Astyanax mexicanus: one gene and its partners. Each later gene encodes a partner of the first gene's protein in a complex. Links are inferred from orthologs where the notes say so. Each region holds a gene or a part of one and is shown on either strand. Other genes may lie near its edges. The genes, in order: snrnp200, snrpg, snrpd1 and eftud2.

The links.
Region 2: snrnp200 (region 1) and snrpg share a complex: the UniProt entries of both Homo sapiens proteins name them as parts of the U4/U6-U5 tri-snRNP complex. The link is inferred for Astyanax mexicanus from reciprocal best matches to the Homo sapiens genes SNRNP200 and SNRPG.
Region 3: snrnp200 (region 1) and snrpd1 share a complex: the UniProt entries of both Homo sapiens proteins name them as parts of the U4/U6-U5 tri-snRNP complex. The link is inferred for Astyanax mexicanus from reciprocal best matches to the Homo sapiens genes SNRNP200 and SNRPD1.
Region 4: snrnp200 (region 1) and eftud2 share a complex: the UniProt entries of both Homo sapiens proteins name them as parts of the minor spliceosome. The link is inferred for Astyanax mexicanus from reciprocal best matches to the Homo sapiens genes SNRNP200 and EFTUD2.

Annotation. Positions count from the first base shown.
Region 1 is NC_064419.1:15,948,749-15,955,775, reverse strand, and holds the start of snrnp200 (U5 small nuclear ribonucleoprotein 200 kDa helicase), read right to left. Parts: upstream 3,026-7,027; 5' UTR 2,802-3,025; coding exon 2,757-2,801; intron 1,663-2,756; coding exon 1,499-1,662; intron 1,419-1,498; coding exon 1,247-1,418; intron 1-1,246. UniProt on the Homo sapiens protein: Catalyzes the ATP-dependent unwinding of U4/U6 RNA duplices, an essential step in the assembly of a catalytically active spliceosome. Plays a role in pre-mRNA splicing as a core component of precatalytic, catalytic and postcatalytic spliceosomal complexes.
Region 2 is NC_064420.1:6,264,618-6,272,323, reverse strand, and holds the start of snrpg (small nuclear ribonucleoprotein G), read right to left. Parts: upstream 3,010-7,706; 5' UTR 2,455-3,009; coding exon 2,423-2,454; intron 1,382-2,422; coding exon 1,359-1,381; intron 368-1,358; coding exon 243-367; intron 1-242. Other genes in the region: si:ch211-148l7.4 (oocyte zinc finger protein XlCOF6), read right to left, coding at 6,644-7,706. UniProt on the Homo sapiens protein: Plays a role in pre-mRNA splicing as a core component of the spliceosomal U1, U2, U4 and U5 small nuclear ribonucleoproteins (snRNPs), the building blocks of the spliceosome.
Region 3 is NC_064410.1:2,559,687-2,566,512, forward strand, and holds the start of snrpd1 (small nuclear ribonucleoprotein Sm D1), read left to right. Parts: upstream 1-3,815; 5' UTR 3,816-3,961; coding exon 3,962-3,975; intron 3,976-5,071; coding exon 5,072-5,148; intron 5,149-6,448; coding exon 6,449-6,640; intron 6,641-6,826. Other genes in the region: clptm1l (cleft lip and palate transmembrane protein 1-like protein), read right to left, coding at 40-229, 1,251-1,345, 2,287-2,451. UniProt on the Homo sapiens protein: Plays a role in pre-mRNA splicing as a core component of the spliceosomal U1, U2, U4 and U5 small nuclear ribonucleoproteins (snRNPs), the building blocks of the spliceosome.
Region 4 is NC_064426.1:27,201,509-27,208,866, reverse strand, and holds the start of eftud2 (116 kDa U5 small nuclear ribonucleoprotein component), read right to left. Parts: upstream 3,002-7,358; 5' UTR 2,857-3,001; intron 1,855-2,856; 5' UTR 1,816-1,854; coding exon 1,714-1,815; intron 1,530-1,713; coding exon 1,346-1,529; intron 1,091-1,345; coding exon 1,012-1,090; intron 1-1,011. UniProt on the Homo sapiens protein: Required for pre-mRNA splicing as component of the spliceosome, including pre-catalytic, catalytic and post-catalytic spliceosomal complexes. Component of the U5 snRNP and the U4/U6-U5 tri-snRNP complex, a building block of the spliceosome.

The DNA of each region.
Region 1 (7,027 bases):
AATCATGAACTGTTAGGTATAAATCCAAATGTATTAAACAAACCTCCCAATGAAAACAGTATTTTTTAAACCATAAAAATATACCTCAAAATGCACTGTTCCACATTATTAAGCAGGCCACAGGTTTCAAGCAATATAGGAAAGAAAAAAGATCTCTGCTGCTGAAAAGTGTGAAATACTGCAACGCCATTCAACATTTCACAAAAAACTGAAGCATGATCATTGTACTGTGAAGAGATTTGTGGCTGATTCAGAGCACAGACGGGTTTGTACAGATAAAGACAAAATGAAGAAGGCTCCAGCCAGACAAATTAATCGGATTATGAGAGCAGCTGCTAAAATGCCATTACAAACCAGCAAAAAGGTATTTGAAGCTGCTGGTGCCTCTGGAGTCCCGCAAATCTCAAGGTGTAGAATCCATCAGAGGCTTGCTATGGTGCATAAACCCACTATTCAGTCTCCCCTAACCAGAGCTCATCATTGGGTTTGTTCAATAAAATTTGATTAATACGGGTCATGACTTGAAACTATACTGACTGTTATTTGCATTGACCGTTTAGGAAAACCTGAGAATATTGCATAATAAATTGGAAAAAAGTGTAGATATGCAGACCTATGATTCATCCTTGCTGCACTATCCATTAGCATCACTCTGAACAGATTTCACTAGAACACTGAATTTTAGTTAAAAAGCTCAGTTTAATGCTCTACTTAAAAAAATGTGGGGTTTCAATCAAGCTTGTGATTTTAAGGAAACATACAAGCCCTGAATTGAACATTACAAGGATCCCTAGCGACAAACCTAAAAGCAGTGTGACAATCTTAATAACTAGGTACTTGTATTGTACACACAATGGTGACTGTGCACTTAACAGGGCCCTATGATTGCCACACTGCAGAGAACATGGATGGAATAACGAAATAAATCAGAACTCAGGTAAATTTAATATGCACGAAACTACACATGATTCACAGTACAAAGTAAAACTAACATGAGCAGTGTCTGTTAATGACACTTTTAAGTTGAGCGCGGTATTGAATAATACAAAATAAAGCTTAGCTAAGCAAACACGTTAAAAAGAACACAGCCACAACCCAAATACAGTACTACAGACCTGATTCTACAATCATACTAATCTAATAATATAATGTTGGAATATTTTTTTTTCCCCAGAGTGCTTATATTTTTGATGCTGTTAAACACTTTCAAAAAGTTTTAACTATAAACAACAAATACTGAACTTGCCTGGTCTCCAAGAGCAGCCTGAATGAAGCTGAGGAGGATTTCATACGTTTCTCTGGTCTCCTTGGTCTTTGGCTTGTATACGATACCCACCATCTCATCAATTCCTTCTGACAGCAGGGTAAATCCTTTCATTTTGTTAATGTCATGTCTGTCTTCATCTCGCTTTCTTCTCCTACAACACAAAGAGGGGAAAAATGAGAAGGCTAATACCAAAAGAAACGTAATGTTAATGCAAATTTGGAGAATACGTACTTTGCCCTCCTTTCTTCCAACATTTGTGGCTTCGTTCGTTGACTCTTGTCTCCCATTTTGGTCCCTTCCAGTTTCCCAACCAAAGACAACACCTCGCCTGTAGGTTCATCTCGGCGAGTGCGGTCAATGAGAGAGCGATCAGCTTGCAAAACCAAGTTCGAGTTCTGAACCACAAACAGAGAGACAGAGATACAGACTCAATAACAGTATGAGAGTAACACAGTAACAGTAAAAGTGAGTGAGACAGTAACAGATTGAGAGAGTAACAGTAAGTGTAGCAGTGAAAGAGTAACAGAGAAACAGTAAGCGTTAGAGTAACAGTGTAAGACAGAACCATAGTGTAGCAGAGTAAGAGAGAAACAGTGAGAGTAAGAGTGTAAAACAGTAACAGTAAGAAAGTTACATAGTAATACAGTACGAATGTAACTGAGTGCATTAGATAAAGAGTAAGTGTAACAGTATTAATGTGTGCCAAACAAGTGTAACAAACGAGTCAGAGTGTAACAACAAACAGAGTAAGAAAATAAGAAGGAGAAACAGTAACAGTGTAACAGCGTGAGTGTAACAGTGACAGAGCAATAGAGTAGGAGTGTAACAGAGTCACAGTGTAACGTTAAAAGAGAGAAATAAGAACCGTAACAATGTAAAAGTAACCGTAACAGTGTAAAAGTAATACTAACTGTGTAAAAGTAACAACTGTGTAAAAGCAACAAAGGAAGAGTGTAACAGAAACAGAGAAACAGAGGAGTGTAACAGAAGAACAGAGAGAACCAATAAGAGTAACAGTAGTAACAGAGTGAGAGAGAAACAATGAGTGTAATAGAGTAAAGGTGTAACAGAGCAACAGGGCAATAGAGAAACAGTAAGGGTGTAACTGTAACAGAAAGTGTATAAGAGTAACAGAGGAACAGTAAGATTAAGAGAGTAAAAGTTAGAGTGTAACAACGTAACAGTAATAGAGTATGATAATAACAGAGTAACAGAGAAGCCGTAAGAGTGCAACAGTAACAGTAAGTGTATGAGAGTAACAGAGACAGTAAGTGTATGAGTGTAACAGTAAGAGAGTTTGAGAATAAGAGTAAGAGAGAAACAGTAAGAGTGTAACGTTAACTGCAACAGTAAGTATATGAGAGTAACCGAGTGACTGGAACAGTGAGATTAAGAGTGTAACAGAGTATGATAATAACAGAGAAACAGTTACAGTGGAACAGTATGAGAGTAGTAGAGTAAGGGAGCTGTAGTATTTTTCTGTCCTCACCGCTTTATACTCATACTGCAGACTACGCGCTGTAACATCCGCCATCCTGCAGCTCTAGTGTAAGCCCCGGCTAATCCTCAGAGCCCGGGCTAACCGCTCACACAGCTACAGCTACAGGCCTGCGGGGAGCTGCGGGGTGCTGCGGGAAGCTGCGGGGCCGGGTGATAGCAGTACGGTATAGAAGAAAAGTTGCGGGTTCTGCTGCTTCTGCTCTCCCGCACAAAAGACTCACAACGCACGCACGACGCGCGCAGCATGTCACGCAAACAGTTCCGTTTCCGGGTGGTTCCGGAATGGTAACTTTACCCCCCCTGGTGGATTGGAGGTTAGTAGGGAATGCGCATGCGGATTATTTTCAGGCGCAGTTCCACTAAAGAACCGACAGGTGCCGCCAAAGTTCCAAAGTTCCTTTAAAAACTGCACAGATTGGATTGAATGCGCTGGTCCTGTACATGGACCAATATAGTGTATAAAAAACACCAACTTTTTATTAAAAGTCAACCAACCCTATGTGACTCGGTAAAGTTATAAGCATTAGATGTATGTAGTGTTATATTTTAATCCCTTGTTTAATACAGAACAGCAGAGATAATCAATTTGATTGGTTATTGACACAATAAACCACCTGTGTAACTAGATGTGTTACTTTTCTTATATCAGATTCATGTTTGGCCTAACATTGCTATAAAAGTAATACTACAAAACAAGCACAACAAAGTTTGAGCGTATAAATGAACAAATTTTTACATTTTACAAAAGTTTTTAAAACATTAAGAACTTTATTAACTCATACTTGAAGATTGATCGTTAATTAAAGACAATTATACCACAATTAGTTCCGACCCTTTGATGTGATTGGCTAAGAGAGGCTTTCTATGAGTGACATTATTAGCCAGTAATGCACCATAACCAAAGCAATGATGCAGCACTTACAAGCCAAACAGCGCAGCTACAAACAGAGCAGCAATGGAAATGTTTTAATTTAAGTTTTTATAACACAACAGATCAGATTTTCTTGTCCTCGGCCTACGAACGCAGTAAAGCAGTGCCAATATTACACGTTATAGCACTCCCTCTCATGTTTTATTGCTTAATTCATTAAAACCCCTTAAAACATTTTGTCCTTTGAGTGTTAGAGCTGTAAAATTGACTGGGGGGGTGGGAGCAGGTAGGCGTTCTCTTCTGCAGTGCTGCTAGCCAATCAGAGGTTATATATTTGCATGTATGAATATTCATGAGCAAGAGCCAAAACCTGTCTTTCTTCAGAGACCTCTAATTCAGTGATCTAAAGCAGGGATAAATAGAAACACCTACAACTAGACACCTACAACTAGACATTTTAAAATTAATTAAAAAAACGATGGAATGAGACATTTAACGAGTAACTTCTTTAAATAGATTTGGCTTGTAGTTCAGCACTTTAAACATCAGACACCAACAATTTTGAGGGAGAAAGGGTTCAAATAAGTATTATTTATGTAGTATATATTATATTGTATTATATTGTATTATATTATATCATATTATATTATATTATATTATTTACGAAGTTGGAGGTAATAATTACGAATCGAGTAGAAATGGATGCCATTAGGAAAATTCCTTTGTTTATACTATTGGTCCATTATCATAAAAAGGTTTATTTTGTCCTACTCTAAAACAATAAAGTGAATAAGACACACATTAGGTAAGTGATGTTTTTATCCCATAACTGGTACAGAATGGATTCTACTGCTGAGCATGGACACCCACACCTTCCAAAGCCATACACAGTTAGCCAGAAAACAGTTTTATCTTAAAGAACTTAAAGAACTGCAAACTCTTGTGTTAAAAAAGGTCCAGCCCAAGCTCCTGTAGTTAAGAAGGCTCTAATATTTCTATGGTATATGGAAAATCAAAATTTCATTCAGAAAATTGCTGATAAATTCAATGTGTCCCAAGGAACGGCTCATAAATTTGTCCTGGGGCTTTTGGAACTGACCTGTTTACTGGCAAAAAAATACATTAAATGGCCCACTCAATGTGAAAAGAGAATAAGGTCTGTTGTGTTTTAACAGTTTTTGGCATAACCTTTTTGGAAAACACTGCATATATCTCTAATGACTTTCCTTTTGTCATTATTCCTGCACGTGATAATGGTGCACTAAGGGAAGATGAGCTGCAGAGGAATGCCAGCATCAGCCATGGAAGAGGTGTGGTGGAACAGGCTTTCGGGAGAAAGTCATTGTGGCAGTTTGCACACTATACACAATATGAGCATTAGTGTAGGCCAAATGAATGTATGTGAAAAACATCCCCATGGATGCTCAAGGCTTGAGGATGACAATATTTGATCATAAACGAGTCCTAGGAGAGGTTTAACAGGGCACATGTGAAGGACACGCAGCGTTCTGGAGCATGCTCTGGGCATCCTAAAGATGTAATACAGAGGACATTGACGAGGAGGACACAGAGGAGGATGGTGTGATTAAACTGCCCGGAGAAAGGAGAGAGGAGCTTTACCCAGAGGGATTGAATGGTCTAAATACAATTATAAAAAATGTGTTTTCTTGAATGTTAATTTATCTTTAAAGTATGTGCCTAGTTAAGTTTGTAAAAGATTTGTTTTATTATGTTTTTATTAAAATACACTGGAAAACATTTTTGAGTTGGGCTATTTTTTTTTATTTGTTTATTGCATTTTTATACCAACAAGAAAAAAAGCTAATTGAATCAATACAATCAAAGTAAAATACACACACACAATAAACGACAAGGTGTCTCACACATCAGGGAGCTCCTCTGTTGTGCTTGGGTCTGGATCATAATTAGAAGTTAGTGTTAGAAACATACAGTCATCTTATGCAGAAACATCAAGCTTGTGTTTTTGTGTGTGTGTGTTTGAACAAGCACCTTGTGCTGAGGGGAATAAAATTGGCACGGAAATAAAGGGTGGCCAAACTGAGCCTCAGCCAGTTCCAGCTGTTTGGCTTAAATTTGAAGCATAGTATTCTTTATGCTGAGTAGCTCCTTGTGGTGTGTCTTACGCTGCTGCAGGTCTTTCGCGCTGCTACTAAAGGTCTTCATGTTTCACAGTTGGACCTGGTCTTTGAAGCCTCCTTTTTTCCAGTGCAATTAATTCCTGACTGCACCTACAAGTACTGGACCTTCTGTTCCCCTCTGATCGAGCCCTGTACGTGTTCCTGTAATTGATGGCTCTGTGTGTGAGGGCACTGCAGAGGAGGGAGTACTGGAGCAGGGGGAAGGCAGGACGGAAGAGGCAGGCTGGGGTGAGGTGGCTGTAAGTTTATTTAGGCAGATAACCCCTCCAGATATTGCTTCTGTTACAGTTGGCCCCAGTATACCCTAGACCCTTTCCTCCTCTAAGGTGAGGAGCACTGTCAGCAGTTGCCCTCCACCGTTTTTTGACCTCTCTCTCCTAAGCTCAGTCCTCCTTCTTTTAGCTAAGCTTGAGAAGTCATTCCATTTTTTTATTTCAGCGCCACTTCTTTTAAAGAACTGCATGCATTAAGACAACATTAAGTTTGCAATTTGATCCCATTATTTTTTTTCCTCTTTATTTCTGAGGCTTCCTCTTGCATGCACCTATATAAAATTCCCACCAACACGGGAATTGCAGGATATTGTGGCAGCTCTGGGTTGTGTGTGTGGCTGCCTGCAGTCATGTTTCTGTTCTCCTGTGTGCGAGGATGACAGGGGTGGGGCATCTCCCTTGGGAGGGGTTATGCAGAGAGGGTGGGCACCACTCTGGATCTGCCATCTGGGAGACACACAGCTGGGTTGGTGGCCTTCTGGCTATTTGAGCTCTGTGTTTATGGTTTTAGCTCTCCTAGTCTTGTTAAAGACTGTAAGTGAGTGGCAAGCCGGTTCAATAAAGGAGCTGTTGAGCATTCAGCATGAGTCTCACGGGTCTTCCTTCCTCTTCCACGCCACATTTGGTGTCAGAAGTGACCCTGCTGGAAGATATTGAGCTGCTGGCAGGGGAAATCGAACGGCTGAGGAGGAAGACAGCGGACCAACGGACTAGAGGCAAGGCTCTCCAGCGGAGTGGACTCGGACCTGACGGCGCCAGCGGGCTGTTCGGAGGTCGTGGCCGGGGAGAGGACGACGCGAGCACGGCGGCGCTGGCTCCCAGAGCGGATGGCGCGAGCACGGCGGCGCTGACTCCCAGAGCGGATGGCACGAGGACGGCGGCACTGGCTCACGGAGCGGATGGCGCAAGGACAGCGGCGCCGACTCGCGGAACGGACGGCGCGATGATGTGCCGAGTG
Region 2 (7,706 bases), on another chromosome or scaffold:
CATATTAGACAGCTTTAAATAAAATGTGAACTTGCAATATCACATCTGGAAATTGTGAAATGGAGAAATAAAACAAACATTGTATTTAGTGCGTCTTAACCCGTTTGGGAAAATTATTTAAGGATTTGTTTTTTTGGATAAACAAATTTAAGGCCTTTTAAGACTAAGTATTTACAGATATCCTGATTTTACAAGTTGTGCAAACAGAAGCAGATAGAGTGTTCGAGACAGAGATTACTTACCACCATGCCAATGGTGTTCTGTTGTCCCCCTGGGGACATTTCTAAGCAGTCATCCACCACCAGATTCATAAAGGGGTCAAATCCTCTGAGGATACCTTGGACATGCCGACCACCATTAAGCTTTACTAAACAAGAAAAGAGAGAAAAGAGGGAAATATTTATAAAAATGTATAAAAGTAATACAACATTCTAAAAAATAGTGTAAATAGATCATGTGTACAGAAGATACAAAACATCAGTGCAGTATGGGCAACACTATCCTTCCAATATAAAAATCTGCTTTAGACAAGCAATGTAATAATTAATGTAATATGCTTAATAACAAAACACATCAAAGTTAGTTGGATGCAACCTATATTATGTCTCCTAACATTAGATTATTTTCTACCTAGAAACATCACAATGGTAACTTGGGCACAGGGGCAGGTTAAGTGGAGATTTCAGGTCATGCATAGAAAGAATGTGGTATAAGCAACGATAGTGTTACTCTTTACAGTTTAAAATATGTGCATCCAGACTGACCTACGAATAAATCTTGTTACTGAGGATGGTAAATGCAATTGTTGTGGGTCAGGGTAAGGTTTTTCAGTTTAATTTTCTGACCAGTTGCAGACAAATGTGAAAGAACTTAAATATATGGACTGTTCCAATCATTTCAGAGTCCTCACCAAGGTTTGTCTGTTACACTGTGCACATTTAGTCCAGTTAGTCTTGATTAGTTTCACAACGCAGTTTAGTGACTGAACACACTAAAGAACTTTGTCTTTGATAATAAGAACATTCACAACAATCACAAACATGGGCTGTTATCCCCTATACTTTACACAGATAGTTTTGTAGACTGTGGTCAGTTCTACAAGTTGCTTTTCCAGGATTACATTCAGATTCCTTTATTTTATGTAATCTGTTGTACCCACACTGCTGGCTTGAGGCTAAATTCAAAAACTGAAAACGTAAAAGTGTAAAAACTTTTATTTATTTATTTTTTTCCACATTTGGTGTAGTGGAGAAGAAATGGGATTTTATCTATTTAAGTATATATATATATATATATATATATATATATAATTTCAGATTCAGCCTAACAATGAAAAACGTGACTTAAATGACACTCACATGACAGCTTCTTGTCCATAAACCTACAAAAAGGAAAACAAAGAGTTTAATAACAGACAGCGCATTTATGCTGAATCAACATTTTTAACCTCTGATGCCCTCAAACAATACTGACCGATATCAGAACTGATTTTTCAGTTTTACGTTGATTCAATGATAGTGTTATACTTAATGTTTGTATTGAAATTTATTAACATTAAATACATGGGTACAATACCAGTCAAATGTTTGGACACAATCATTCCCAATGTTTATCTTTATTTTGATTATCTTCTACATTGTAGATTAATACTAAAGCCATGAAAACAATCAAGGGACACATATAGGATCACATAGTAAACAGTAAAAGCAGCAACTATTGTTTAGCACCTCTAGGAAGTGCTTCAAGGCGCTGAAAAAACTATTCCAGGTGATTCTCCTCCCTTATGAAAACACTGAGATTAAAATACAAAGAGTATGCAGATCTGTCCTCAAAGATAAATGTGATACTTAGAAGAATCTAAAGTAGCACACATATTCTGTTTTATTTAACACATTTTTTGTTTACAGAATCATTCTGCGTGTGTTCCTGTATAGCTTTAATGTCTTCAATAGTAAATGTAAAATGTAAAAATTATAAAAACAAGAAAAATCCCATTGAATGAGAAGAGATGTTTGTAAACTTTTGACTGGTACTGTATATTTGTTTGTGTTCTATTCATACAGGTTGTAGTGTGTCTGGGAGTGTAGAACAGCTCCATCCATTCAAACGTTAATTCAATGTTCTCTGCTGTATGTTGAAGCTAATTAGGTTTATTGGGTCCGAATCTAAGCTTTAATTAAACTGTATGAGATTAATTAGAGTAGGATGTAAAGAGCTGCGGTGTTTCTATTGTCCGATCTTTTAGTTCAAATGGTTTTACTGGGGTTTACACTCAGCCTCTGCTACCGGGGTTGGTTAGCTTATCTATTAGCTTCAGGCTAAATGACCGCTAATTACAATACACAGCTACAGAAACCCAATGCTGAAAATAAATATATATGATATATCCCAGCTAGCGCTAATTCCGCCTGTTAGTACTCACTTCTTCAGCTCTGGAGGATGAGCTTTACTCATGTTTAATCAGCGCGGGATGTTCAGAAGCAGCAGAAGCAGCAACGGCGGAGAGATGAGCGTCGGAACTGCGCTAAAACACTGAAACACGCGCCTCACAGCGGAGGTGACGCTTCTCCCGGACTTCGGCTGCGGCCTGTACCGCCCCCTGCTGCAGCGGCGCCGCTATTACCACACACTGCCTCACCCACAGAAGCAGAAAACCCAGGACTTTAGAAACTGTATTAAAATACTTTTGGGGTAAAACCAGGAAATGAATAGCTTTACACAGCTAAAAATTAACCTCTGTGCAGCTAAAACTAAGGCTGGTTTAATTGTAGCCACGCAAAGCTTTAATTTTAAGTGCGTGGAGCTTTAATTTAAGACGTGTGAAGCTTTTAGGTCAGACTGTTGCATAGGTAGTAAAATTTACTGACTGTTAAAAATAAACTGTTGTGTTTAAGGTATAAGACAAGCGTGTGATTGGGGAGAGCATAAGGGGGGGGGGGGGGGCGGCTCGCTGTGTGTGTGTGTGGGGTGGATAGAAAAGAAGGCTCGCTGTGTGTGTGAGGTGGAGAGGGCGCAGGGTGTGTGTGTGTTCAGCCCGAGTGCTATTTTTAGCCTGTTAGCTAGTTAGCTCGCTAGCCTGTTGTTATTTTGGTGTGGTTGCAGCTGACTGTTTCAGCAATAAAGCATTGACTGTAAACGTCTTTCTCATTTATCCTTTCACCACATCCAGCCAGATGCTATAATATCTTTTTAAAAAAGGAAAGAAAAAAAATAAAACAGTGGACTGGAAATTGTAATGATTTAAGATTACTTGTTACTGAAAAAAAATGGTCAGACACTGAACACACAAACAATCTATACTGGAAGGACTAAACAAAGTCAATGAAATCTGACGTTATCATGTTGCCAATGGGAAAAAGTATCTAATCATGCTGTAGCCATGAGGGTGGGAGGCCCTGGAAACATCTCAAGAACAGGAACACCCCTGTCTACAGCTACTTTTATAATTTACTGAAGCCTTCAAAAAGTCTTCCTTGCAAACCTTTCAAAATACAAATGTACTGTCACACTTGTTAAATAGCTGTACTTACCAGATACTGTGACAAAAAAATAAATAAAAAATTACAGCACCTTTGCTGAAACCGACCATAGAAAATGCTGTTTTCAAGTTACTGCAATATTATAAAAGGTCTTGCACAAAATCTAATAATATTGATAATGAGAAATAGCAATGCTAATAATAATGCATGTATTAACACTAAATTTAAAAAATAATATTAAATGTCAATCATTTAAGCTGTAGTAAAACAAAATAAAATAAAAATCAGCACAAAATGTAACAGATATAGCCACTCACACTTAAAGAGCTTCCTTTTTCCAGTTGGTTTATGCGATAAAACCAGAGACCTTATTAATGAGGAGACAGGCCACTGACCACTATATGAATAGGATTTATTGTAACGCTAACCATGGCGCCTGTTTATGAATAAAGTCCCACCCTTATGTAAAAAGAATCAGTGTTTTTGTGCAGAATTTTAAAAGTAATGTTAAATGATGTAAAAAAAAATGGATTAGAGTATTTTGGTCTATCACCACCCAAACCTGGTCATTGTGACGTAAACTCCGAATTTCCATTCCTATTTTAAATACACTAAATGTACAAAAGTATTTATGTACACTAAAGTACAAAATTATATTAAAGATGTAATGTTAAATACAGCCAGGATAATCAAGCTGAAAAAAGAGAGAGAAACTTATTGGTCTACTCAGAAATATATTTTTGTAGTTTTATATTATCATGAGGAAAAAGAATACACAGAAAACCAAACATTTGGTACATTAATGTTACATTTTTGGCTCCAGCCATAACAAAAATGAATGAAAAAAAAAAGCCAAAACCAAACAATACTTATGTAACGTAATCCCTGTGGACAAATCCACCCCAAAAAAAAAAATCACATCATGAGACACAGCAGTAAATATAAAGAGGTATTCAGTTTCTTTTTGCCCATAATTTCAGGGTTCACGATGATATGAAAACATGATAAATGAAGAGTTTAGGAATATAATGCTTTCCACAATAATTTAACTGCATAAGGTTGCTGCAAAGATGCTGTAAACCACTGTCCAGAACACAGGACCTAAACTTGGCCCAAATAATAGCAGTGGACTTAGTCTGGCTCAACTGACCCATGGTCCAGTTCATTCAGACCAATTACAGGTAGTTGAGTCAAACTATCGTCACCCAATAAACAACAGAAGAAGAAGTATTGAAGAAGTGTTGTGCCAAAATCTGACTTCTTGTCCAGACATGTCATGCCGCAGTATGGGTACAACAGATTATGCTGGTGATGCCTGTATCATAACTGTAGATTAACCCTTTTTTATAAACAGAAATAAATGGAATATGAGGGGAATCTCTTACAACCATTCTCCTATATGGCATGCCTGCACTCGAAAGAAAGTCAATTTATAGTGGGGGCAGCATTTAGCACAACTCCGGGAAAGACAACTAACATAACTAAATGGACAGAATACAATGTAAGAAACACACCAACCTTGGCGTGAAAACGCCCTACACTGTAACAGCACTTGAACATGCTGAAACAAGGCACTACTTAAGATGTGCATGGTAAGGCACAGAGGTAAAATCGGCAATGTGAAAGACATTTCAGGTTTGCGTGTGTTCTATATATGTACAGGATATAACTATTAAACAGAAATACAGATCATCGCTAACAAAAGCTATAAAAAAGCATATAATCAACCACGAAAAAGTTGTCAATCGAAAAGGATAAAAAAAAAATGCAGTCCTACACAATGACTGTAGAAAAACAGACACTGTGGTGCTATTCCCTTCCATTCTACATAAATAATGACAAGAGCATCCTCCATTGTGTCAAACTTGCAACCAGAGTCAAGGGGTGGGACCAAACTCGCCTACTCAAGTATCTCAGACTGCCTTCATTGAGATCACAGCACAGACTAAAGAACAAAAAGCAAAAAGGGTTTTGTAGAACCCCAGTTTAAACAGTAAGTGTAGTATTCCAGTGGTAAACGGGAAGCTTTTGTATTTTATTACCAAACAATTTCCATTACAGCACCAGAGCTTAGCTCAGTTTCATTCTGTTGACTACTGAGACAAAGCGAAGATACTACAGCTACTAAAAGTCTTTAGAGGAGGAAAATTTAATGGAAGACCTTGGCGCGGCTGTTTCTGTCATTGAAACGTACAGGGATGGATGGATCTACGCTGCACCATATCTCTGGAGGTGTTAGACCTATGATGACTTCATATTTCACAAATGTTGCCCTGTCCATGCTTTTATACAGTCATTGCTCCTACAATAAAATCCTCAAATTTAGTAGTACCACACCAACAGAACTATGTTAATCAAATTCAACAACTATCAACAGCAGAAAGAAATCGTTCATGTTATTCGACAGTGTACAGTTTTTACATTCAGCCTGTGTATTCAGTGAACATGAGTGGCTTTGGTAAATCACAGCAAAAAAGCATACATTCATCATTCATCATTTAGAAATGTTGTTTGGCAATCTCTTAACATAACACAAACTGTTCGAAACTTAATGTCAAAGGAAAAAACAAGACAACTCAAGTATTCTGGGTGTAAAAGCCCTTTCACACTGAGTCCAATATGTTTGGACTAACGAAGCATAGCTAGCCTCACTACTATACTATAGCTTCCCACACTAATGAGTTAGATGTTCCCTTAATAATGATTACTTATGTGGAGAAGAAGAGAGCAGAAGTGGACAGAGAGCAGAGAAACAGAAGAAAGGTTTACATATATGACAGTTGTGGAATTTCTGCATTGTCAGATGTGTTAAAATCAGGCAGACCTATCAGATATAAGGTCTGTTGATTTTATACTCTGATCAATGTGCTAATTATGAAAAGGCAGAAGATAATGGAAATATGTGATGCTAATGCTTGGTAATAAACTACAGCTTCCCTAGTTAATGAGCTATAGCTTCCCTCATTAAAGAACAACAGCTTCCCTTGCTAATGAGAACTTGTGAGTGAAACAGAAAGAGTAGACATTTATCTGAAAGAGCTAGAAAGAGCTGTGGAGTATGAGCCCTGTTTGCACATTTGCATATGTGAGCTCCATGTGTATCCAAAAATATGTACTCTGTGTGAAAGGGCCTTAATTCTGACTAGATGTTACTTTGTGCCTTTTCAATCACTAAGTTGGGCATCATCATCTTTCTCATCATCATTGCTGCAATAAAAGTGTGTTTGGCAGTGCTGCAGAAAAGTATCCAGGTCCACATATGCCTCCTTACATGGCACACAGTGATAGACTCTATTCACAGAAGACCCTGCAATCTGAGGTAAAGCAATCCCACCAGTACACACGCTGCAGTGGTTTGGGGTGTGTGTGGACTGGTGGATGTCTTCATGGTGTAGCAGGGCAGACTTGGTCGTAAAGACCTCTTCACACGATGGGCAAGGGAACTCTCCGTCTTCATCTTCGTCTTCATCCTCATCTTCATCCTTATCCTGAGTACGAGCATCTTCCTTGTCTGCGATCTCCTGCCTTCTGTTTTTTGAAACAAAGCACTTTTTCACATGTTTGTTTGTCTTCTTATCAACAGGTTTAGACTTCTTTGAGGCTCTGGAGGTTAGTTTAGATCCTTTGGTTGTTTTGAGGTCTTTGGAGGTTTCGCTGGCTTTTTGAGTTTTGTCTGATTTGGCGCTGTTTGAAAGGTGGGTCTGATAGTGGCTGCTGTAGCTCTTGAAGTGTGCCCAGCGGGTGAGATGGTGCAGGAACACTTTGCCACAGTGCAGGCACGGGTACGTCTCGCCTCTTTGCCTGCTTTGCCGTCGCTTCCTGTGGCTCCTCTGCTGTCTCTTTGTGGAAGTCTTTCGCCGGTGCTCCTCTTTCCTGTGCCGGTACAGCATAGAGGTCTGAGGGAAAACCTTGTCACATGATCGACATGCAAATAACGTGCCTTTAGAACCTTGGACATGCTGCGTCACCTTCTTTTTGTTCTTTTTTACACTGTTTTGGTGATAAATGCGCTGATGGCAACTTAGACCCTGGGCAGTGCGGAATGTTTTATGGCATGAAGGACAAGTTACTGGCTTGTGATTGATCCCTGAAGTCGATGGTGGAATTGAAGCATAGGAGGGAGTGGGTGTGTCATCTGTAGACATGTGAGTCACAGTAGAAGGGGCTGGCTGACACCCTGCACCCTGCTGGTGGTACAGCAGCTCCTGCTTGTGGCTGAAGGCTTTT
Region 3 (6,826 bases), on another chromosome or scaffold:
AAAGCACGTGTATTTAGTTATAAAGAAATAAACTCTGACCTGAGCCTCGTCCTCGCCTGTGATCAGGCTGACCTCAGGGGGTTTGGGTAGCATGTAGGCGGTGAGTTGGGTCACCATGTGCACTTGGCGGGGATCCTGCCACGGCGACATTCCTGCCTGGTGCACGAACACCATGGCGTACAGAGTTCCATTCTTACGTGTCTTCTTGGGCAAAGACACATTTACTAACCTTTAGTGGAAAAAAGATAGAAAGAAGAGAATGCCTTAAATTAATCTAACATTTAATATTATTAATAAAATTCACAACTTCATATCCATTCCAAATTTTTTCCAGCATGTATTTAGCAAATACATAGTCAAATCATTTAATTATCTGAAATTGGTCTACAGCAATAAGGCAATAAAAAGAAAATACAAACCACTAAAATAGCCAAGAGTGCCAATGCTACAGAGTAAATTGTCACTGTCCAATAAAAACAAGCATCTCCAAAACAGCATTTTATCAGGAGAGAGATATAACCTTCTTGACTTTCAATTAAAGTCAATGTAAAAAAAAAAATGTAAAAAAAATAAAATTTCAGGTCAATTTCAGGTCATTCCAGAGAACTTCTATTGGTCCATTCATTAAGAATTTTTTACATACTGTAAAAGCGTCAGTTTGCGTGTTTTTAAATTACAGTATGTAATAAATCGAAAAAAATATTTTTTTAGGTACATGTTTTTGACAGCGATGATATACTATAAATAAATCTGCAGTGTAGGTTTGGCAGGGTAGTACACAAAACTGTATTTATTAAATATTTATTAAGGATATTTGTGTATAATCAGCTTATATCACACTTTAATATATGCTACATTCTTCATACTAAAAAACTATTTAGTAGTAGGAACTGGAATAAAGGTAGGACATACCCACAGCCTTTTTGAAATACCATTATTTTTCACACTATGAGGCCACTCTGCTGAAGTACAGCTGAAGTTTCTCCAGAAGTTTCACCAGCACCAAGGCTGGAGCAGTATTAGCATTAGCCGCTAACCTCAAAAGCTCCTTCAATCTATAAATATGAAATATGATCCTCAGAAGTGAGTTGTTTAAGTCTTTAAACTGGAACATCTTGCTCTATATTAGGGATTAGGGGTGTTAAAACCTGTCCACATTGGCTTTGTGTGGCCAATGTATACAACAGAGTAAGTATATCCAATGTATTTGGTGAATCCCCACTACTAACTAAATGACTACAGAACTTTACCTCTCAAATCTGGTGTTCACATCAAAATCCTCCTCTCTGTGGATCAGACTGTGGCCACCTTCAGTGTTGGGTCGTAATGCTGTGTAGATGCTTAGCTGTGGTGAAGATAACAATGAAAAATATATTTTTTTAAAATGACAAGACAGACTTTATACACAGTTGGTTTGAAGAGATAGCCTCAGCAACATCTCAGGGCCTATGGAATTAATGTTTAAGCAATAATACAATAATAGGAGTGGGAGTGCTATAACTTGTAATTACAGCAGTGCTAATATAACATGTTATAGCACTAACCTCAAGCGTATTGTTGAGATTATACTACAGTTTCATTACCACTGTTTATTAAAATATTTCGAGTTAAAGAGGAAGAGAAAATACGATATGTTTGGTTATAAACACTCTGCAAGTAAAAATAGTTCCATTGCTGCTCTGTTTGTAGCTGCGCAGTTTAGCTTGTAAGCGCTGCATCGTTGCTAGGTTAGCTGTATGTGGTGGAGTAATTCATGGAGAGCTTCGGTTAGTTACAGTGCATTACCGGCTGATAACGGCACTCATAGAACACCTACCTCTCAGCCAATCACATTGCAGGGTTGGAACTAACTTCTACCTCTGTAGCACCTTCACAGTTTTGAACTGTGATACAGGCGTGGATGATGTTTCCGTGTACTTTGGTAGGTGGACACTTACAATATGCAGATCAGTCAATCAATAATAGCGCCCCCCTGCTGACACCAATCATCTGCATCTTACCGCTATCAGAGGCACAATGCCGATGCTGCAGCTCAGCCAATCAGCTCCCGCTCCTGCTCTCCCACCCCTAAACCCATACATCACCCAGTGCCCCTCCCAAACTAACTAACCCCTCCCATTTTTTTGTTTAGCATTTGTTCAAATTCGAGCTGAGGGTGGGGTTTAGTGCCACTTTCAAGAACCACTGATCTGAAACCCTAAAAAACTGAATTAGTGAACACAGTTATCTAAAAATTAACACACACACACACACACACACACACACACACACACACACACTGCTCACCTGCAGACGAGGCTTTCCCGCCAGGTAAGGGCTGATGCACTTGTCACTCTTGGGGTTGTCGCAGGGTTTGGTGTAAACTATGCCATACATCACCCAGCAGGTGTGCAGCACGTAGACGATGAAGACCCCCACTATGAGGGTGGTGAAGGAGGTCTTCTGGAACATGCTGCTTTAGCAGTTCCTCAACTAAAAGCTACACACACACACACACACACACTCACACCGCTAACATGCTAACCCGCTCTCAGCACAGCCCGCTCTCATATCTCAGCTCCTCTCCTCCTCCAGGTGAGGCAGGTGAGGCAGGTGAGGCTGTAGATCCTCAGTAATCCAGGTTTCTGAGCTCAGACTCAGTTTTAGGTCAGATTATAGTGTTTCATCATAAGCGAGCTCTGACTCTTCCTTCCGCCACTGAGCTCCTGGGTTGTGGGTTGCCAGATTGGTTGCTTTCAAGCTTAATTAAAAAAAGCGAGTATGGGCAGATTGCAGGTTGCAACAAGGTAAGCAAACCATTCAATTGACTAGTGCTAGAGTTATATTTTTCATATAAAAGCTTTATAGATCCAAAGGACCCAAAAGACCTAGGATAGAATTTCGCCAAACATTGAACGGGACAACAAAATACTTTATTATCACAATCAACATTGTTGTTTAGAAACAATGGAACAGTAACAAAACAAAGTTTGCCTTAACATTTAAAAATTAAAAATATATATATTTTTGAGGTAGAAAAGGAGAAACCACAATACAAAAATAAAATATAATTTTCACCTCAATAGACATCTTTTCTAGTTAATTCTTTCTTTGTTTCTTTTTTTCAAATAGAATAAAACAATACAAAAATAAGGAATTTTCTTCGCTACTGTACTTTTTTCGTCGCTAGACAGTCAGTGCATGCAGAAAAGAAAAAAAAGATTGGGTATCGATCTTTTTACATGAGCATTGCTCAATACCAATACCAGCGTTGGTATCGATAGTATCAATATTTGGATCAATCCGCCCACCTCTAACTAGGGCCCCAAGCTGGCCTGGGGCCCGCAGAAATGACAGGCTAAGAAAATGTGTGAGCTGTTAACGAAAATACGATCTTAAAATGTTTTAAATAGTTCAATTGCTGCTCTGTTTGTAGCTGTGCTGTTTAGTTTGTAAGCGCTGCATCTTTGGTTGCCTACCTGTATGTAAAAGTAATACATTGAGAGCTTCGGTTACAGTGCATTACTGGCTGATAACAGCACTCATAGAACGCCTCTCAGCCAATCACATTGCAGGGTCGGAACTAACTGTGGTATAATTTACACAAATTCTGCATGTGAAACTGTATCACTTCATCAGCCTTAAGCAATTATACCTCATATTACAATTGTACTATTGTCTTGTGTCTTACGTATGTCTATACTATTAAATTTACAATTAAAAATGCGTATTTAGTTATTAACAGTACATAGTTTAATGCATGTGTTAAAACGTACTAAAAAAAATAAATGGGGTTCAACGAGGGGATTTATGTGTAGATCTGGCAACTGTAACCTGTGACGTAGACCATGAATGGAGTTCTTCCGTGCTGCGCCGGATGTAGTCATCTGTGTTTCAGTAGCGTTTCGATAACGTTCGTTTATTAGCGCTACAATTTTTTCTCTCTCCGGCGGAGGATTTCTTTACCGAATCCACCGCTAACATGAAACTCGTCAGGTAGGCGGATTGTAGACGGTTTATTTTACGGTGTTCAGTTGTTAGATGTTGTAAATTATCCCCTGTTTGATGGATGGGGCTGGATTGTTTGTGGAAGCTAACAGGCTAAATGAGCTGCAGCGGGGCTGAGAGGCGGGAACCGGGAGTTAGTCAATGAATGAATGGGTGGATAAAAAGAGAGTTTATCTCATAAACGGAGCTATAAATGCCGTTTTAAACTAAACTCGCTCTTTGCTGGGGTGTAATTTGTCTAAATTAAGCTAGATAAAGTGAACTAAACTGTTTATACTGTGCCCCAAACTGCTAGCTAGCTAGTTTGCTAACCTAGCTTAGCTAACCTACTCAAACAGGCTGACTTTGGCTGTTTGTTAAATGTAAGTAATATAAATTTTAATACAGGGTTTAGTATCTTAAAATTATTGTATTTGGCTTCTAATCTACGTTACGTGGTTGTTTATAACCTGTGTATCCAGTTTAAGGAGAAGCTGTAGCTGCCCTTTATGTGAATTATCCGTTCCACCTTAAATTGTGCAGTAGTTACATGCTAGTCTTGCAGTTGTTAAGGTGGAATTGATAATTCACATAAAGGGCAACTACACTTACACTGCTGCAGGGCTTACACATCTACTGCACAAAATTTTAAGGTAGAACCGACAATTCCAACATGAAGGCAAGTTTAGCTTTGTAGTGAAGGTGTAGCTGCTTCTTATGTTGTAATTGTCTGTTCCACCTTAAGTCGTGCATGCAGGTCAGGAGCTGTTCGTGTGTTTGGCTATTTGTTAAATGTTAATGTTAAATACAGTTATTAGTAACTTAAAATGAGTGTATTTGGCTTTTAATCTGCGATACGTGGTTGTTTATAGCCTGTGTATTGTTGTGAAGTAGTTACGTGCAAGTCCTGCAGCAGTTAAGGTGGAACGGACGATTCACATAAAGGGCATGTAACGTAGACCTTAACTGCTGCAGGGCTTCTATGTGACTATTGCACAATTTAAGGTGGTACTGATAATTCTAACATAAAGGCAACTGTGTGTGTGTTACAGAGCCACTATATGATTTATGTCTCATTTTAAGTGTGTTATGTTCTTTTCTGCAGGTTTTTGATGAAACTGAGCCATGAAACTGTTACCATTGAGTTGAAGAATGGCACCCAAGTCCATGGCACAATCACAGGTGAGGATGTGGTGTTTTTATATTTTGATGCATTAGTCTTTTAGTAGGCTGAAGTAGAGCTTCACAATACATTTCTTAATTTTGGTTGATGCAATATAATGCTTATCAATACGAATAAAAAGAATAAAACCTTAAAACTGTGCCTTTAAATTTCGTTTCAGTGTATTATTTACACTTTTATTTGTGCCACAATGATGCAGATGATAAAAATGCTTTGTTCTGTGTACTTATGTCAGGAGTGTGCCGTCTTCTCTGCATATAAGCTGGCTTCTACACATCCAGCAGCACACCTGATTCCACTTGTTGAATCAGCTGGTCAGTCTTCAGGCAGTTGATGGCTTAAATTAAAACCTTCAGCCACACTGATCCTTTTTGTGTGAAGACCTTTTAATAAAGAGTCAGATTTTTAAATACCAAAATGTGCAATATTATTATTTTTTAATCAGAGCCTGATTGATCATATGTGCTGTATGGGTATGTTAAAGGCATACTGGCCGATCGAAGCACAGTTGTCATGGTTGCAGATCAAACAAATGCACAAAGATGGCAGCTCAGTTTGTTCAGAGCTGGGCACAGAAGCTTATGACTGACAACACTTTGATTTATTATAAGAATACGTTGATGGAAATATATAGTGGGCAATGAGCACTATATATATATATATATATATTTAATATTGTGTAGGTGTGTTCTCTTTTAAGAATGAGAAGGAAAACAATTAAAGTATGAAAAAAGTATAGAGTAGAACGTGGAAAGGAGCTGTGGAATTTCTGCATCAGTTCAGAGCACAGAAGGCAAAAATTCTGTTAGATTTGGTGTAAAGTTTCTACTATGTTAAATCTCTTTTTTTTTTTTTTATCTGATAATCATACTTTTTCATACTTTATGTAAAAGATTGAATCCTGTTCAGGGACCAAAAAAATGTGTTTGCAAACATTTAATCATGTTTTTTTTTTTTCTATTTTGTGCTCTGGGTTTTATACATTGTATACATTAAATCAAAACTGTGTGTATAATTCAGGTCAAAAATCCACCCTTTTTAGTAAGCTTTTAGTAGTTTTTTTTTTTTTTTGTGAAGCCCTATTTAACCCTTTGTATTGTGGCTATTTAGTGGGGCATCATCATGGCTCTTGTAAAGTCTAAATCAGTTAGCAAAACACAGAACAATGAGCTATATACTGTTTAATGTCCGTATGTAATGGTAAATTTTAAGGCTTTAAAACAGGACCCTATTGAACTGGAGAAGTATCTGTCTGCCTGATAGACAAACTGACTTGTCATTTTCCCTCTTTTTATTCAGGAGTGGATGTCAGTATGAACACCCACCTAAAAGCTGTGAAGATGACCCTGAAAAACAGAGAGCCCACCCAGCTGGAGTCGCTGAGCATCCGCGGAAACAACATCCGCTACTTCATCCTTCCAGATAGTCTTCCTCTTGATACGCTGCTGGTGGACATAGAGCCCAAAGTCAAGTCAAAGAAGAGGGAAGCTGGTAAGTGCAGCACTGTGTGTAAGGGGGAGTTTAGTTATGTACAGTGTAAGAGTGTACTGCTTCTGAAATGGTCAAGAAATATCTTTGTATGAAGATGTTTCCTCTCCCTGCTGAATCATTACCTTATTTAATATTTTTTAAAATATTTTTATAAATAACCATTTTCAATACAAATATTATTTCTGT
Region 4 (7,358 bases), on another chromosome or scaffold:
AGAGGTCCAGAGCACTTTGGATCAGGTTTTCATTAATCTCTGTACTATGTTTCATTCAGCTTTCACTCAACCCTGACCAGACTCTTATTGACCTAAATTGCAACAAGTGAGAACACCCCCCTTATTTTTGTAAATACCTAATTATATCTTTTCATGGGAATGATATGACACTTTGATACAAGGTATCAAAGAAACTGAGGGTAAAAATGCTCGACTGGCCAAGAAGGTGGAAGGTGAAGGAGCGCAAGGTCTCCAACATCCCCCAGCTCTGAAGTGATGCCATGGAGGAGCTCTGCGAGTTTGAAGGTATATCACTGTTTTTTTCTTTTCTTTTTTTGCACCTCGTATTCAGAATTTTAGGGAGTTTTAACACTTGTGCTGAATAAATGATTCTGCATTCAGGACTGTTTTTAGGCTTTTCTGGGCAATGAGAGGAACTTTTTCACAAGATGTGAATTGATTGTGTAACTCCATTTGTCTTTCTTCTGAGTGAATAATTGCTTTTTGATGTTGTTTTTCTATTTTACTTAGATAGAAACACTCATATTGCAACGAACAGCAACAGGAGCTCCTTAGATAAAGTTTGACTTCACAGGGCAGACCTACCATCGCACCAGTGCGTTAGATTGTGAAGCTAACTGGCTATCTTTAGCTAACAAGCTGTATCTGTTTCTTTGGCGGTGCTATTCTACACAGCTCCATAATGCCTCTAGCGGTATGGTGGTATGTAAAAAGTCCATATCAGTTTTCATTTTCCAGCACTACAAACTACTTTACATTGTAACAATGTATCATATATTCAGTGAAAAGGTATATTAAAATAGACTAAAAATGTGAGATATAAATATTACATATGTAATTCACATATTATATATATATATAACCTTTAACTATTCTCTGGAAAATATCCTGTACTTGACTAATACTTGATTCATACCCTTGATTTTAGAAGACACAATGAATGAGCAGATGCCCCAATACTAAATAAGTGTGACTGCAACAAAGACTTACTCCATGTCATAAACTGTAGCTGGCAACTCCTGCTCCATAAGAGTGAACTGCTTTGTTTTCACAGGTTTAATAATAGGCTCTATGTGAGAAGGAGAAAGAAACAGACAGACAGAGAGGGAAAGTAAGAGGGAGAACAGTTTTAGATGCAGCATCAGTGACTACAATTTTTATAACTAAGGTTTTACTGTTTTAAATACAAATTCTACACAACACATCACATTACAATCACATTTTTTTTTATTTGCTGATGTCAGAACATTTTAAAAGAAAGTAAAAAAATGAACCTCATATAGAAAAAAAAAAAAAAAAAAAAAAAAAAAAAAAAGTCCTTTACCAGTGAGAGGCTGGGTGTCCTCTTCCTGGACTATAGTCTCTACCTCCGGCCCGTACACTTCTTCTGCAGTAGGGTAGTACTTTTTATCCTCGTGAAGCACCACCTCCATCCCACCACCACCACCACCACCACCACCATCTTCATCCCCCTCCACCTGGTCATCATCATCGTCATCTTCATCTGCCTGCAGAAACCACACATTAAATTATACACACATTGCCAAAATAAAGGAAATACCAAGTTGGAACAGAAAGCAACTCAAACTCAAATCAAACTCGATGTGTGCTAAAATATTAAAAGCAACAAATACACAGATAAACAGCCCTGTAAATAGATTATTACGCACAAAGTTTATTTGAGCTGTTTACCTCATCTGCATCCCGGTCTTCTGCATCTACATCTTCATCTTCATCAGAGTCCAGCTCTGGCCCGATGTAGTTACCAAACTCATCATACAGATCCGTCTCCATGATGTTGCGGCCTTGTGCGATGGGGTGTCAACAGCACCTCTGGCAGCAATATTGAAAGAGAGAGATTAAATGAATACTCTTAGTGTGCAGATTACCAGCTACAATAAACACTTTGGTTTTATTGTTCTACTTTTATACTTGAAATCAAGTATAAAATCCTTTCAGCTTGGATCCAGAAGCTTATTTCAAATATAGTTAGCCTAACAAGGCTAATACACATCAAATCATAGAAATGAATGCATTTAATTAAATGAGTTACAAAAAGCAGCATTCTAAGTGAAAACAACCTTTGAACTGAGAAGGGAAAAAAAGAAGGCAAGGATCATCAAGCTACAAGATAATATCAGAATTAGAACTAATCCTACCACCTTACACCTAATGATTTTCAAGCAATTTCACAATTTCAATCTAATTTTAATCTAAAACAAAGGCAAATGTATAGCAGTGAAACTATGATTCTTTACAATACAAGGTTGTAGCAAAACACATCATGTATGCATGTATGTATGTGCGAGAGGGTGTCAGACTTCAGTCTGTTAAAAGTCTTTTCAGAGTCTTTTCAAAGTCGTGTAGTGTATGGACAGCATTAGGGATTTCGTGCATCCCATAATTTCTGCGACTTGCATCGTCACCACCCTGTCTTTGTATAAAACACACGAACCAGTGTTAAACTTCTGGGCTATTTAGCAGCCTAATTTACTAGTAAACACAACACAAGGGCGCCAATGGGAACACAGCCTTCAGCTAAGCTAAGCTAACTTAGCTATAGCAAGCAAACAACGCTCAGCTAGCCTAGCTAGTTTAAAAAAATACCCAAACCTCCCTCAATTTAACCGGCTTATAAAAAAAACTGTATGTACGAGGCTCTGCTCGAATTTGACCGGTCTATCTACACCGTTAAATCCAGGTAACGCAGCTCGTGCTCAGGCTCAGCCCATGTGAATGAATGGGTTCGGGTTTAATATCAGATCATCTAAAGCTTCTCCACTTGATTACGCTCAAATTCACACTCAGATCTCAAACGGACAGCATAGACTTTACCTGCGATTAACCGAAGCCTCTGTTTCACTCCGGAAACAGTACAATCCGCTTTATTTGTTCACTGATTTATTTATTTTTCCCTCGCACTGTTACCAGGCTGCACACCGCCGGGTCCTCGCACAACCGAAACGTAAGGCGAACGTTACTGACGTCGCGGCGAATACAGGTATCCCGTAATGTGCCTGAATTCAAATACAGCACATGTTTATTCGTGCAGCGGTTTTCTAAACATTAAACACAGCCGTGGATATAAAGAAACAACACGATTATACGGTCATACTGTGCGGTTTACACCAAGGTAAAGGGTTTAAGTGTTTAAGCGTTTCTAGCCGCTTACACAGAATCAGGCAAAAAGAGGCAAAAAACAGAATGCAAAGCTAAAATATTACATTGCAGTAACTTAAGAGGCCTGAAGAAGGCGCCCTTACACACCATTACACCAGCCCCGATATACAGCTCTGGAAAATATTAAGAGACCACTTCAGTTTCTGAATCAGTTTCTCTGATTGTGCTATTTATAGGTATATGTTTGAGTAAAGTGAACACTGTTGTTTTATTCTATAAACTACGGACAACATTTCTCCCAAATTCCAAATAAAGAGCATTAGAGCATTTATTTGCAGAAAATGAGAAATAGCTGAAATAACAAATAAGAGACAGAGCTTTCAGACCACAAATAATGCAAAGAAAGCAAGTTCATATTCAGTCAAGTTTTAAGAGTCCAGAAATCAATATTTGGTGGAATAACCCTGGTTTTTATTTACAGCTTTTAGCTTTTTTTTCTTTTACTAATACTTATTTTAATGAATAATTTTATCTTATGTTTTATCTTATTTTTTTGTGTGGATCTTGGCTCCGCCTACAGGTAAGGAGTGTATTTCAGGTTTTTCTCGATGCTGTTAATGCAGTTTTTTGTGCTTTAAATATGCATTTGTTGACAAGGTGAAAGAAACAGAACTAGCCTCTAAAGTGAAAATAGCATGTGGACTGAGGCGTTGGAGTAATATTACACGTTTTTAAGCTAAAATGTCTCAGGTTACAGCATTTTACAGTTCTCGCAAGAGTTACAAAGTGCAGTTAGCAGCATGCTAACCCTGGAGTGCTAATTACTGAAATAATATTCTGCCTAGTAAACAAGTCTGTGGAATATCAACTCTAAATCTGTACCTGTATTTCACATTGATTAAATGAAATTCCACCATTTGGATACTCTTTGGCAAGTGTTTAAAACACTTTTATTTGATAAAATAATGGCTAACACCAATGCCCTCCACATGGGCAGGCACATAAATATGAACATGAAAGCGTTTACTGTAAATGGTCGGCTACATTTTGACACTGGCTCCACTTCAGACACTTTAACACACTTAACTCACTCTTATTTACCCAATTGTCACCTACTGGATACTCGTGTATTTTAAGCACATGCTGTAAAGTGCTTTTTCAACAACAAGTGATTTTTCAAGTGGGAAAAAATAATGTTTTTTTATGCAGTGTCTACAGTGAATCTGTATCACCCCTGTAACACACTGTTCTGTAATAACTGATTCTATTATTGTATATTCTCTATTTATAATATGGGTCAGCAAAACAGACCTATAAAACATTGTAGGCATTTCTTTGAGGCCATTCATTTAAAATGAATGGAGAGTTCAGCCTAACACATACCTAGTAAATTGAATACATCTAAAAATAGCCGCAGAAATACAGGCCTACATGCAGCACACAGGCATGACCTGACCTGAGGTTTTTGGAATGACGACATGGAGAATCTTTTGAAGAGCAATGCAGGCAGATTTCATTTTTTATTTTACCCCAAAATCAATAAACTTTAAAGTCACCCGTCTTCAGAGAGAAAAAAATGAATTTGATCTTTAAAGAGTGTGTGTGTGTGTGTGTGTGTGTGTTGCTGTTGGAAGTGAGGTTGGTGGGAGGTTGAAGGAGAGACATCAAAAAACAGGCTTCAGACTATTTCAGATGCTTGTTCATGTATATAAAGGCTTTCAATGGACGTCTGAATTAACATATTTAATTAACACCAGATCAAAACTGAGAAAAGCCTGAAGATAAGACCGGAAAACTGTCAGTCAGGCAACAGACTGATAGAGAAACACTGACAGGGACAGACAGTGGCAGTGAAAGACAGACAGACAGAGACATGGACGTACAAACAGAAAGACGGGTTTAAGACATTGCCTTATAGGCAAAGAATTCCATCATTTTAACATATTTTACCTCCTAGGACCTGACATTTGCATGTGTGGACATCACATATTGGGTTGTCTAGACCACAACACTAAATTTTACTCTACAAGGGCCTGCTTTCCTCTTTTGAGACCATTATACTCCTCCTAGTGGTGGCAGAAGAGTTTAACACGTTACAGTTGTGATATTGTTCAGAAATTGAAAATGAACAGTAAATACAGTAAATGTTATGATTTTTACTTTATGTCTTTGTGTTGAAGCAGCACTTTAAATGAGCCATACTGCTCAAAGAGGCACAATTGATTCTACTTTGGTTTTGCACTTCTGGGCACAAAATAAATGTTTTGCACATCATTACTAAGTGCAACATTGTGTTCTATCCAAATATAAAACTAAAGTCCTCATATGTGGACATCTTTTATTTTTTATTTTTTCCAGAAACTCCATCATGCAAAGATAATTCTCTGTTTTTGCACTAATCTGGTGCCAATTAACCCGAATAAAAGAGACATAAAAAATGCTTGCCATGCAAGAGTTCGGGTCATGCTATTTGGTTTCTTTCCCAAAACAGATCCATGATTAATTAAAACAATTAACACATGCCTTTTCCACATTTTGAGCTGCAGAAGGCATACTTTTCCCGACGTTACGATAGCAAAGACACATTGACAAGCCCTAAATTAAGCTGCACAGTGTGCAATTGACGGCTTGCCAATACATCGCTAAAATAGGGCCGAAAGTGTTACCTCAGGGAATGGCTTCAGAATGCCCACACCTGTATAAACTGTGAGGATTTATCTGGTGATTGAGGCTTAACACTGTCCAGTGTACTTATGGCAAGGCAGCATGAGCAATGTCTGATGGTATATTGTTTAGTAATAAACACAGTATGTTATTTAAGCTAATTGTCTCAAAGTTCAGTCAGTGAACACAGTCTGAACACTATAAATAGCTTAGCAGATTGCTAAAAGCTAAGGGCTTCACATCATAAAATAAACATCACTCGACTGATATGACTGATGTCCCTGACATTTAACAGTCTGACTGGATTCTGACTTGAAAATCTGTTGAAATCTGTGGAAAATAGTTTTTTCTGCATATGGCTTCACTCCAAAGACCCATACAGATGCTTTTATTATAAATAATGTATGTAATAAAGGGGTGTTAGCTGTATCTACCAATGATGCTATGCTTATCTCTTATGCCTGGAGACAAGACAGAATGATCCTAACTGAATGAGAAAAGCAGTGTTATGCAATATGATTTAGGATTATCATTATAGTAATCAGTAGAGAAATGGAGACTGAGCACATATGCTTTTTACTCTAATTAGAAGAAGTGTATTAATTTACATTAGAACTGCACAACAAATGTGTACATTTTCAATCATTTATATAATGATGGCCTTTGTAATATTATGTAAATGATCATCTCATCAAAGTAGGCTACACTAAAAATGTTTAGTGTTCAAAAATGTGTTGTTTGCATCCTGACTAATTATTAAAGATGAAGCAAAGATTTCACTCATCATTTTGAAGATCTTTAAATTGTATTATTAATCAGCTATTTTTATTTTATTTTTTGTTGTATTTATTACTTTTATTTAGTAGTTGTCATTTTGTTTATTATTTAATCGATATATTTATTTTTGATTTTTTGTTATATATTCTTGTTCTCATGTTTTAAAATCTGTGTTTTTATCTGTTTTGTTTTATATACATTTATACATTTTTTGTTTACCTTATTTTCCCCTTATTTTATTTGTAATGTTATTCTACTGTAAGTCTTACGTTAGTTGTGCTCAAATTTGTTCTCTTTTTTATATTATTGTAAAATAAAATAATGTAATATTATTTTTATGTTCTCTTGCACTCCCTCTATCTTTTGTAAATGCTTTACCACTTCAGATTTAAAAAATCTAAATTTTGCAGCCTACAATGAGAATTTGCTACATTAGTACACTATTACAAATTAAAAAATGTGTTATTTTTAATCTAAAATGAATTAAGTTATATTGCAAATTTATAAATACAAGTAGTTTACTCCATTTATATGACCTAGGTGACCTAAGAAACTTTGACTTTGAGAGAGAGAGAGAGAGACAGACAGACTGACTGACAAGTAGACAGACAGACAGACAGACAGACAGAGAGAGAGAGAGAGAGAGAGAGAGAGAGAGAGAGAGAGAGAGATTCTCATAACGCCCATATATTTACATGGACTTCCAATAAATCTATGATTCCACTGGGTGGAATATCATCTCATGTCCTCATGCATCTCATGTTTATTTCCTGTGT